2 linked regions of the Alligator mississippiensis genome follow. The main gene of each other region encodes a partner of the protein of the gene in region 2 in a complex. Links are inferred from orthologs where the notes say so. Each region holds a gene or a part of one and is shown on either strand. Other genes may lie near its edges.

The links. The genes of interacting proteins can lie anywhere in the genome.
Region 1: the proteins of MED13 (region 2) and CDK8 are in contact, whole or in part, in a cryo-EM structure (PDB 8TQC), measured with the Homo sapiens proteins. The link is inferred for Alligator mississippiensis from reciprocal best matches to the Homo sapiens genes MED13 and CDK8. Residues at the interface, in NP_005112.2 of Homo sapiens: Thr1616, Met1617, Asp1618, Arg1619, Lys1621, Val1622, Gly1623, Ile1624, Pro1625, Thr1626, Asp1627, Gly1628, Asp1629, Ser1630, Val1732, Lys1733, Thr1734, Leu1735, Thr1736, Gly1737, Phe1738; in NP_001251.1 of Homo sapiens: Leu9, Glu12, Arg13, Arg71, Lys74, His75, Pro76, Leu81, Gln82, Lys83, Val84, Tyr133, Asp137, His140, Tyr141, Met330, Gln331, Phe335, Leu336, Leu340, Pro341, Thr342, Ser343, Asp344.

What each region holds. Positions count from the first base shown.
Region 1 is NC_081824.1:429,551,977-429,555,718, reverse strand, and holds the start of CDK8 (cyclin-dependent kinase 8), read left to right. Parts: upstream 1-1,418; 5' UTR 1,419-1,456; coding exon 1,457-1,584; intron 1,585-3,742.
Region 2 is NC_081837.1:3,769,656-3,773,397, forward strand, and holds the start of MED13 (mediator of RNA polymerase II transcription subunit 13), read left to right. Parts: upstream 1-1,266; 5' UTR 1,267-1,488; coding exon 1,489-1,554; intron 1,555-3,608; coding exon 3,609-3,742. UniProt on the Homo sapiens protein: Component of the Mediator complex, a coactivator involved in the regulated transcription of nearly all RNA polymerase II-dependent genes.

The sequences.
Region 1 (3,742 bases), on a different chromosome or scaffold from region 2:
CTGAGCAGAGTTCGAATTATATTTTGACTCTTGGAGGGGTGGGGGTCTGCAAAAAAACCCCAAACGGTTCATTGATTAGCAAGTTCACCTAAGTGAAGGAGCAATCCAGTCGCGCCCCCCTGGTTATGATTTTCAAATCTTACAGGGGGCTCATGTCTCTTACTGGGGAGGGGGGGGTGCTCAGCCCTGCCACCCCTCCAGCTCCGCCTTAATTCATACCCCGATTGTGTGGGCTAACTCCTACTGTTTAACTCTGTGCCACTTGTGCCCAGTGCTGCTGCCCCCCTCCCAGAGCACCAGGGGGCTGAGGTGCCTGTGAGGTGGAGGGAAGGGCTGGGTAGGCCAGGGCTGCTAGGAGGGGCAATGACCTTACAGCTCCCCACAGTCTCCCATGTGTTTATGGTGGGGCTTTCTGAGGTGAACCCAGTGCTCCCAGATTATGACATGCTGAAGCCTTAAACTATGTCCATTTTAAGAGGCCCCATATGATAAAAACAATCCATGAAATCCACAAAAGTGGACTGTCATGAAATCTTAAGATGAATTATTGTTTTTTCTGCACAAATTTATGAACTGACTATTAATAACTGTGTAGCCATATAGATGTATATTTTTGTCATATTAGAACGAAAATGTCCAGACTCCTTTCTTATTTAGAAGCCCCTCATATTGCAAGGCCCTAAACTGTACCTTAATCTTAAATCCCCGCACTGGAAGACGCTACTGCTTATCACCCCACAACCCCGAGACCTGGAGGTGCGAGGTCCCCGACGGGACGGGGCGGGGCGGGGCGGGACAGAAAGCCCCCTCCCCTCCTCGCTGACTACGAATCCCGCCATGCCGCGCTGAGCGCGGTCCCCGCCCACGGACCACAGCTCCCAGCATGCAGCGCGCCGCGGCCACCAGGTTCCGCGGCATCTCCTCCTCACCGTCTCGTACTCCCCACCATTCACCCTACGGACTACACCTCCCGGCAGGCCCCGCGCGGCCTCGACCATAGCCAAGCGCGGCGCTCATCTACCCCCCTGCACTACCACTCCCGGCATGCAAAGTGCACAGCTCACGTCAGTGCTGTGGCGCAGGGCACGCCGGGAGCTGTAGTGGGGGTCGCCGCAGCCGGCTGGATTCCACGTGGTGCGCCAGGAGCCGGGAGGCGGCGGGGGGGCGGAGCGCGCCCGTGCGACGCTTTTGCGGCAGTGCGGTCAGGCGCGGCCGCCGTATTCCGGTGGCGATACCGGCTGTGGTGCCGCTACCCGGCTGAGGCGCGGCGGGGGCGCGAGCGGGGAGGGAGCAGCGCCCGCCGGCTCCCCCTGCATGGTCCGCGTCGCTGCCGCGGGGCCTCCTCCTGCTGCTCCAGCTCCCCAGAGCCGGCGGGGTCCGGCGGGGGCGGCGCTGCGCGGCGCGGGCGGGGGGCGGGTGGCGGGGGCTGCCGGCGGGGCGGCGCCGGGCGCTGAAGATGGACTATGACTTCAAGGTGAAGCTGACCGGGGAGCGCGAGCGGGTGGAGGACCTGTTCGAGTACGAGGGCTGCAAGGTGGGGCGAGGCACCTACGGGCACGTCTACAAAGCCAAGCGGAAAGACGGGTGAGTTCCCTGCCCGCTCGCCCCTCGGCCTCTTCCTTGTGGCCCTGTCCCCCGAGCCACCGCCCGCCGGCCTCGGCCACATCCGTCCGGGCGCGCCTGTCGCTGTCCGGCCCGTGGTGGCCCCTGCTCTTGCCCTAGCTCGGCCTGGGCTCCCCTCATCCCCGGCCCCCACCCGCTTCTTCCTTTGGCTGCTCTGTAGCCCCTCACCTGTCGCCCTTCACCTCGGACCCTTCCCCTTCTCTTTGCCCTCATTCTCGTTCCCTGTCTTGGCACCGCTGGCTTTTTTTGTCCCCAGGCGTGTTTTCTGTGGTGGGGTTTGATAAAAAAGTCTGTCTGCGTGTGCATCGTACTCCGGTGTATCTCCATCTTTGTCTCTATCCTGTTTAACTTGGCGACTTTGCTGGTGAACAAATGAGTGTCCGGGTTTAGAAAAGCCTCAGCCTGGCCAGCCTTTGGTTTGTGTAGGGTGGGATAGGAGCCCCCCCTGCCCCCTCCCCCAGTAGTGGGTTTGTGTCTGATTTATTACTTCGAGTCACCATTTTGGGTGTTGTTGCGGATTGCTCTAGTGGCTGAACTCTCTCTCGGCCCTGTAGGGGGTTTGGCAACCGTTTGGAATGAGGATCTGTTTCTGTGGCCAGTTTGTAGCACAGGAGATGCAGGGTTTTGCACAGATCCTTGGAAAAAGAAGGGGGCCAAGCTGTTGTGTAAGGTTTTACTAACCCACAACAAAGCATCACTTTTTCCACAATGGAACTTGGGGAGCAGGAGAAATGGGAAGCACAGAGCACATTGTTCTGCCTACTCCAATGTTTTAGCAGTGTTTTAGTTTGCTTACTCCATTTATTTCTCCTTGATGAACCCCTTCCCCAGTAACCTTAAAATGTTACTAATCACCTTCCCATGAAGGTAATGCTGGGTCATTTCAGCATTTTCAAGTGGCAAATATTTGTAATTCAGTAAATGGAAGAGATTTGTAAAGAAGTCTGTCAATTATGAATGATATATTTAGCTAGGCTTTATGTACTTCTGATGTTACATAGATGTGCTTTCCATTATTACATATAAATGCAGTTTTGCACAAACTTCTCTATTTAAAGATATTTTAAACATACTCAGATTGATCTTTAGCATAACCATTCCAGTCTCTATTTGTTTGCTGGGATGGGCCAGCTAGTGTGTGCGTGTGTGTGCTTCCTTTATAAATTAAAAACCCAGCTCTGCAAACCTGAACAGCTCACAAGAACAGTTATTGCTTAGGTGACTAATTTTCAACTGTGTGAATAAAGATTTTTACAATTCAGTATTATTGTCTCAATCCTCCAAGCATGTATATGTATAACTTCATTGGCATAGGTTGTCCTATAGATTTCAGTAAAGGTAAGGAATACGTGATGAGCTTTCTGCTATGACAATGACTTGAAATGTTTTGAGTCCAGAAGCAAAGCAATATCTTGATAGGCATGGGGAAAATACAGGTGAAATACTGTATTTGAAGTAGTAAAGCAGTAAGCTAAAGCCATTCCATAATTTGGGATATATATTGTTTAGAAAACGTTTATTAATTTCACATGCATTTGAGGGGAACAAAAAAGTTTAACACATTAAAAGGTAACAGTAATTAACACACACTTTTCAGACTCCTTTTCTCTGTAGTTATTAAGTGTAGCAGACCTCTGCAGTGTATAAAAGAACTCAGAATTTGATAGTACTTATGATGCATGAATTCAAACATTTTTAGCAGAATCATCAGTCTGCATGATGATACTTAACAGAGCAGTGTCTGGAGTTTCATAGTTTCATAGTAGCTAGGGTCAGGAGGGACCTGAACAGATCATCTAGTCTGACCCCCTGCCACAGGCAGGAATGAATGCTGGGTTCACAAGACCCCAGACAAGTGATCATCCAACCTCCTCTTGAATTTGCCCAAGATAGGGGCAAGGACCACCTCCTTGGGAAGTTTGTTCCAGCTTTTGGCCACCCTAACTGTAAAATATTGCCTTCTGATCTCTAACCTAAACCTATTTTCCATCAGCTTATGACCATTGTTCCTTGTCACCCCAGGTGGTGCTGGGGAGAAAAGAGCTTTGCCTATTTGCTGTTGATCCCCCCTGATGAGCTTGTAGGCAGCCACCAGGTCCCCCCTCAGCCTCCTTGCTGA
Region 2 (3,742 bases):
CTACGCCGGTTGTTCAACTCTCTCGATCGTTTGTATCAGACCCTTTGGCAAAGCCAGGCTAGAAGACGTTAGCCAGCAAAGCTACGTTTAAAAAAACAATGTCAAAACGATGCCGCAGCCGTGATGGTCCGTCCAACTTGAGCGCTTGTGGTCCAGCCGCAGGCTCGTGAATTTGCCGTCGTGGCTGGCGGCAGCAGCGATGCCTTGATTTGAAGATCTCTACCGTGGCTCGTCAATGGGTCTCGAGGCAACTTAGTCCTATCCGTGAACCGCGGACCAAGCTGCAGGTCTTTCCACAGCGGAGAACAGACCGTAGGCCCGATTTCCCCCCCCTGCTCTCTGTCCTCCACCGCGAGGGCGAGACCGTTTCCTTCAAAACGGGAGGCCGTCGCCCAAACCGCTCCTCCCAAGGCTTGACCGCGGCCGTCCGCCTTCTTCAGGTCTGCCCTCAACGTGGCCTCCCGCCATTACTAGCGAACGTCTCCTCCGGCTTGCCCTTGACACGAGGGGGTGACTTTTTGAAGACGGCTGAAGAGCCCAGTCGCACCTGCGGAGAAGCGTCCCGAGCACGACGGGCGGTGCAGGTGCGCGACCCAGCCGCCCAGCTTTGTCTGCACTGTTGGTGGTGGAGGGCACCCCTCAGGGGCAGCCAGGAGGGCTGGGGCCTGCACCCCCACCTCCAGGCCGCCCCCCACCCACCCCCCGGCTGGGCCGCAGGCGTTGGGCGGCCGCTAGATGGCGGCGCCTCAACGGGCAAGGGGCCGGGCTCAACAGCGCTGCCTCGCGCCCCAGCGGCCGCTCCGCGCCACTGCCGCCGCCGCCGCCGCCTGGGCCGAGCCGCCATGACCGGGCGGCGCCACGTGACGCGGCGGCGGCCAATCGCGGCGCGGCGGGGGGGGCCCCGGACTCTCGTCCCCGCGGCCGCCATTAAAGAAAAAAAAAGGGGCTCGGATCGGAGCGGGAGCGCAGACCCCCCCCCCCTGCCCCGCACCGCCACCCGCGCCCCCCGCACCGCCCCCGGCACGCGGCGCAGGGCAGGATGCCGCGGCCGGGCAGCCGCCGCCAGCGGCACCGCTGAGGGAGCGGGCGGCGCTCCGGGACGCAGGCCGCGCACTCGGGGCCCGCCCCCCGCGCGGACACGGCCGCGGCGGCGGGCACTCGGCGGGGCGGCCGGACTCGGCGGGAGCCGCCCGCCCCCCGCGCGGACACGAGGGGCCGGGCGTCGCTCCCCGCCCCCGCCCCTGACGGAGGGTCGCGCCCGCTGCGCGCCCCCCCGCGCCGGATCGCCGCCCTCCTCCTCCTCCGCCTCCTGCCGCCGCGGCCCCCCCGAGCCGGCGGGCAGCGCCCGCGCCTCCCCCCGCCGGCGCCCCGGCCCCGGCCCCGGCCCGGCGCCGAGCCGTGCGGGCGCCCCCCGCCTCCCTCCCCGCCTGTCTCTTTCTTTCTTGTCGGAGGCTGTGGGATAATGGCGCGCGGGTTGCGGCTGTGAGGATGAGTTCCTGCTTCGTGCCGAACGGGGCCAGCCTGGAGGATTGCCACTCCAACCTCTTCTGCCTGGTGAGCCAGTGCCCGACCGCCGCGGGGGGGAGGGGAGGCCGAGCAGCCATTTTTTTAGGGGTTGGATGAGTCCTCGGAGTAGGCCCCGCACCTCACCTCTCCCCCCACCCTGCTGTCTGTCTGTCTCCTGGCGCCCCTCCTCCTCCTCCCCCCCCAACTCCCACCACCGTGCGGACACAGCTCGCCTGCCCCTTCTCCCTCCCGGCCCCCAACTCCCAGCTCCCTATCGCCACGGCTCGCCTGCCCCTTCCCAGCCCCCAGCTCCCGCCGCCCGATCGCCACCCGTCTTCGTGTTAGCGCTGACAGGAAGGCGGCACGCAAACTAACTTTCTTCCCCCCCCCCCCCAGCCCGAGCCCGATGGCGCTCGCGGGTGGGAGACCAGGCCAGGTTCCTTCGGGGGGCGAACCCGCGGTCTTATCTCGTGGCCGGGGGCGTTTTGTCCGAGGAAGCGTCGCTCCCCGCTCTTCCCGGGTGGATTGGCTCCGCCGCTCGCTTTCGTCCGAGCGGTTTGGGCGATCCCCGTTAGGGGGTCCGCGGTTTCGTGTTGATGGCTGCCCACGCCAACTTGATGGAAACAAGTCAATTTCGGGGGGGGGGTCACGGCTCGGGCTTGCCTTAGTCGCTTGCAGGTCGCGGCGTGCCAGGTAGACAGCCTTGCGTTGGCCCGCAGGTCGCCGCGTGCCAGGTAGGCTACCTGGTACTGAGGATGATGGTGGTTGTTGTCAAACATGTGTCGGTCTGTTGCACTGGCGGATTTGGGGGTAGGGGACTCTGGACAGCCTGGTCGTGTCTGCCAGATAGCAAGGGGACGGGCAGCATCAGGCCTGTAGCTCAATACCACCAACATCTTTTAAGCCCTCTAGTCTTTCAGAAGGACCAGCTGTTGCAAATCCTTTCGTAACCTGGAATCCAGCCTTGCCCCTTTTTATTGAGGTAGGGGAGGCTGCCATGTTAGACCTGGAGCTGCAATACTCTTAGCTGTTTTCTCATATGGGGGAGGAGGAAATCATTAAGCAAGTACAAGGTATCCATCACAGAGGCTCATTTATTAGCTTAAAACCCATGGTGCCTCCTGGCAAGCCCTTCGAGGTCATTGCTCCAGCCAAGCAGTGGTCATAGCGTTCACCTTAGTCTCTAGTAGTGTTGCTTTGTAAATAACAGTTCTAGCTTCGTCTTTTCCCCATTAGGTGCAGGTAATCTGCCTCTAGGAAGAAGCAGGGGAAAATGCATTTTGGCTCGGAAGGTCCGGGACACATCATAACTTCTCATTCCTGACCAAAGTCAAACACATTTACAGCAAGGAAAAATAATTTAGAATTTCACTTGTAAGACATGAGATGAGAAGAGAACAGTGTTGTGCAGGGTATAGTCACCATGCTTCTTTGAAGTATTCCCTGTGTCTGAAAGGGTTTGTGTTTTTTTGCTGTAACCGGTAAAGTCTTTCAGGGGATTGGAAAGTGTCCTTTGAGGATAGGCGGACTGTATACAGGTTTCTGAAAGGGCTTTGTAACTTAAATACAGAGAAGGGCCAATGCAAGATGAAGTCCAGAGAAAAAAATCCCTTGCCAAGATGTGTGATTAGTTAATAATCACGCAGTTACGAAATTGTTTGAAAATAACTCCATTGCTGCCCTTCACTTCTGTTTTTTTAATTTTTTTTTATTTTGCTGCCTTTAAAAAGTTGATTAGTTTCATTGCAGGTTTGCTTCTGCTACTAATAATTAGAGTTGTTATTTCAGGCAGTTTTAAAACAGGATAAAGGTCATCATAACTTGGGACCTAGGGTTGGGTCTTTTTTTGGCATTCTGGTATACGCCTGGGTTTACGAAATTAGAATATAGTTTCAGACAAGTTTTATTGACCTAACCAATGGAGCTTGTTTCTTTTTTAATCTTTGATGCTTTCATAGCAAGTAGGGATCCTCTGGCAGTTTCTTATTTTGAGTCTTTCTTATACTTTCTTTCTAACTAAGAAACTAGAAATGATTTCTGGATGTAGTAAACTTTGCTTTTGCCCAAACACGTCCTTGAATTTGTTTTTTCTCTTCCCCCAGGCTGATTTAACTGGCATTAAATGGAAACGATACGTATGGCAGGGCCCAACATCTGCCCCAATTCTCTTTCCTGTAACGGAAGAAGACCCCATTCTGAGCAGTTTCAGTCGCTGTCTGAAGGCCGACGTACTGAG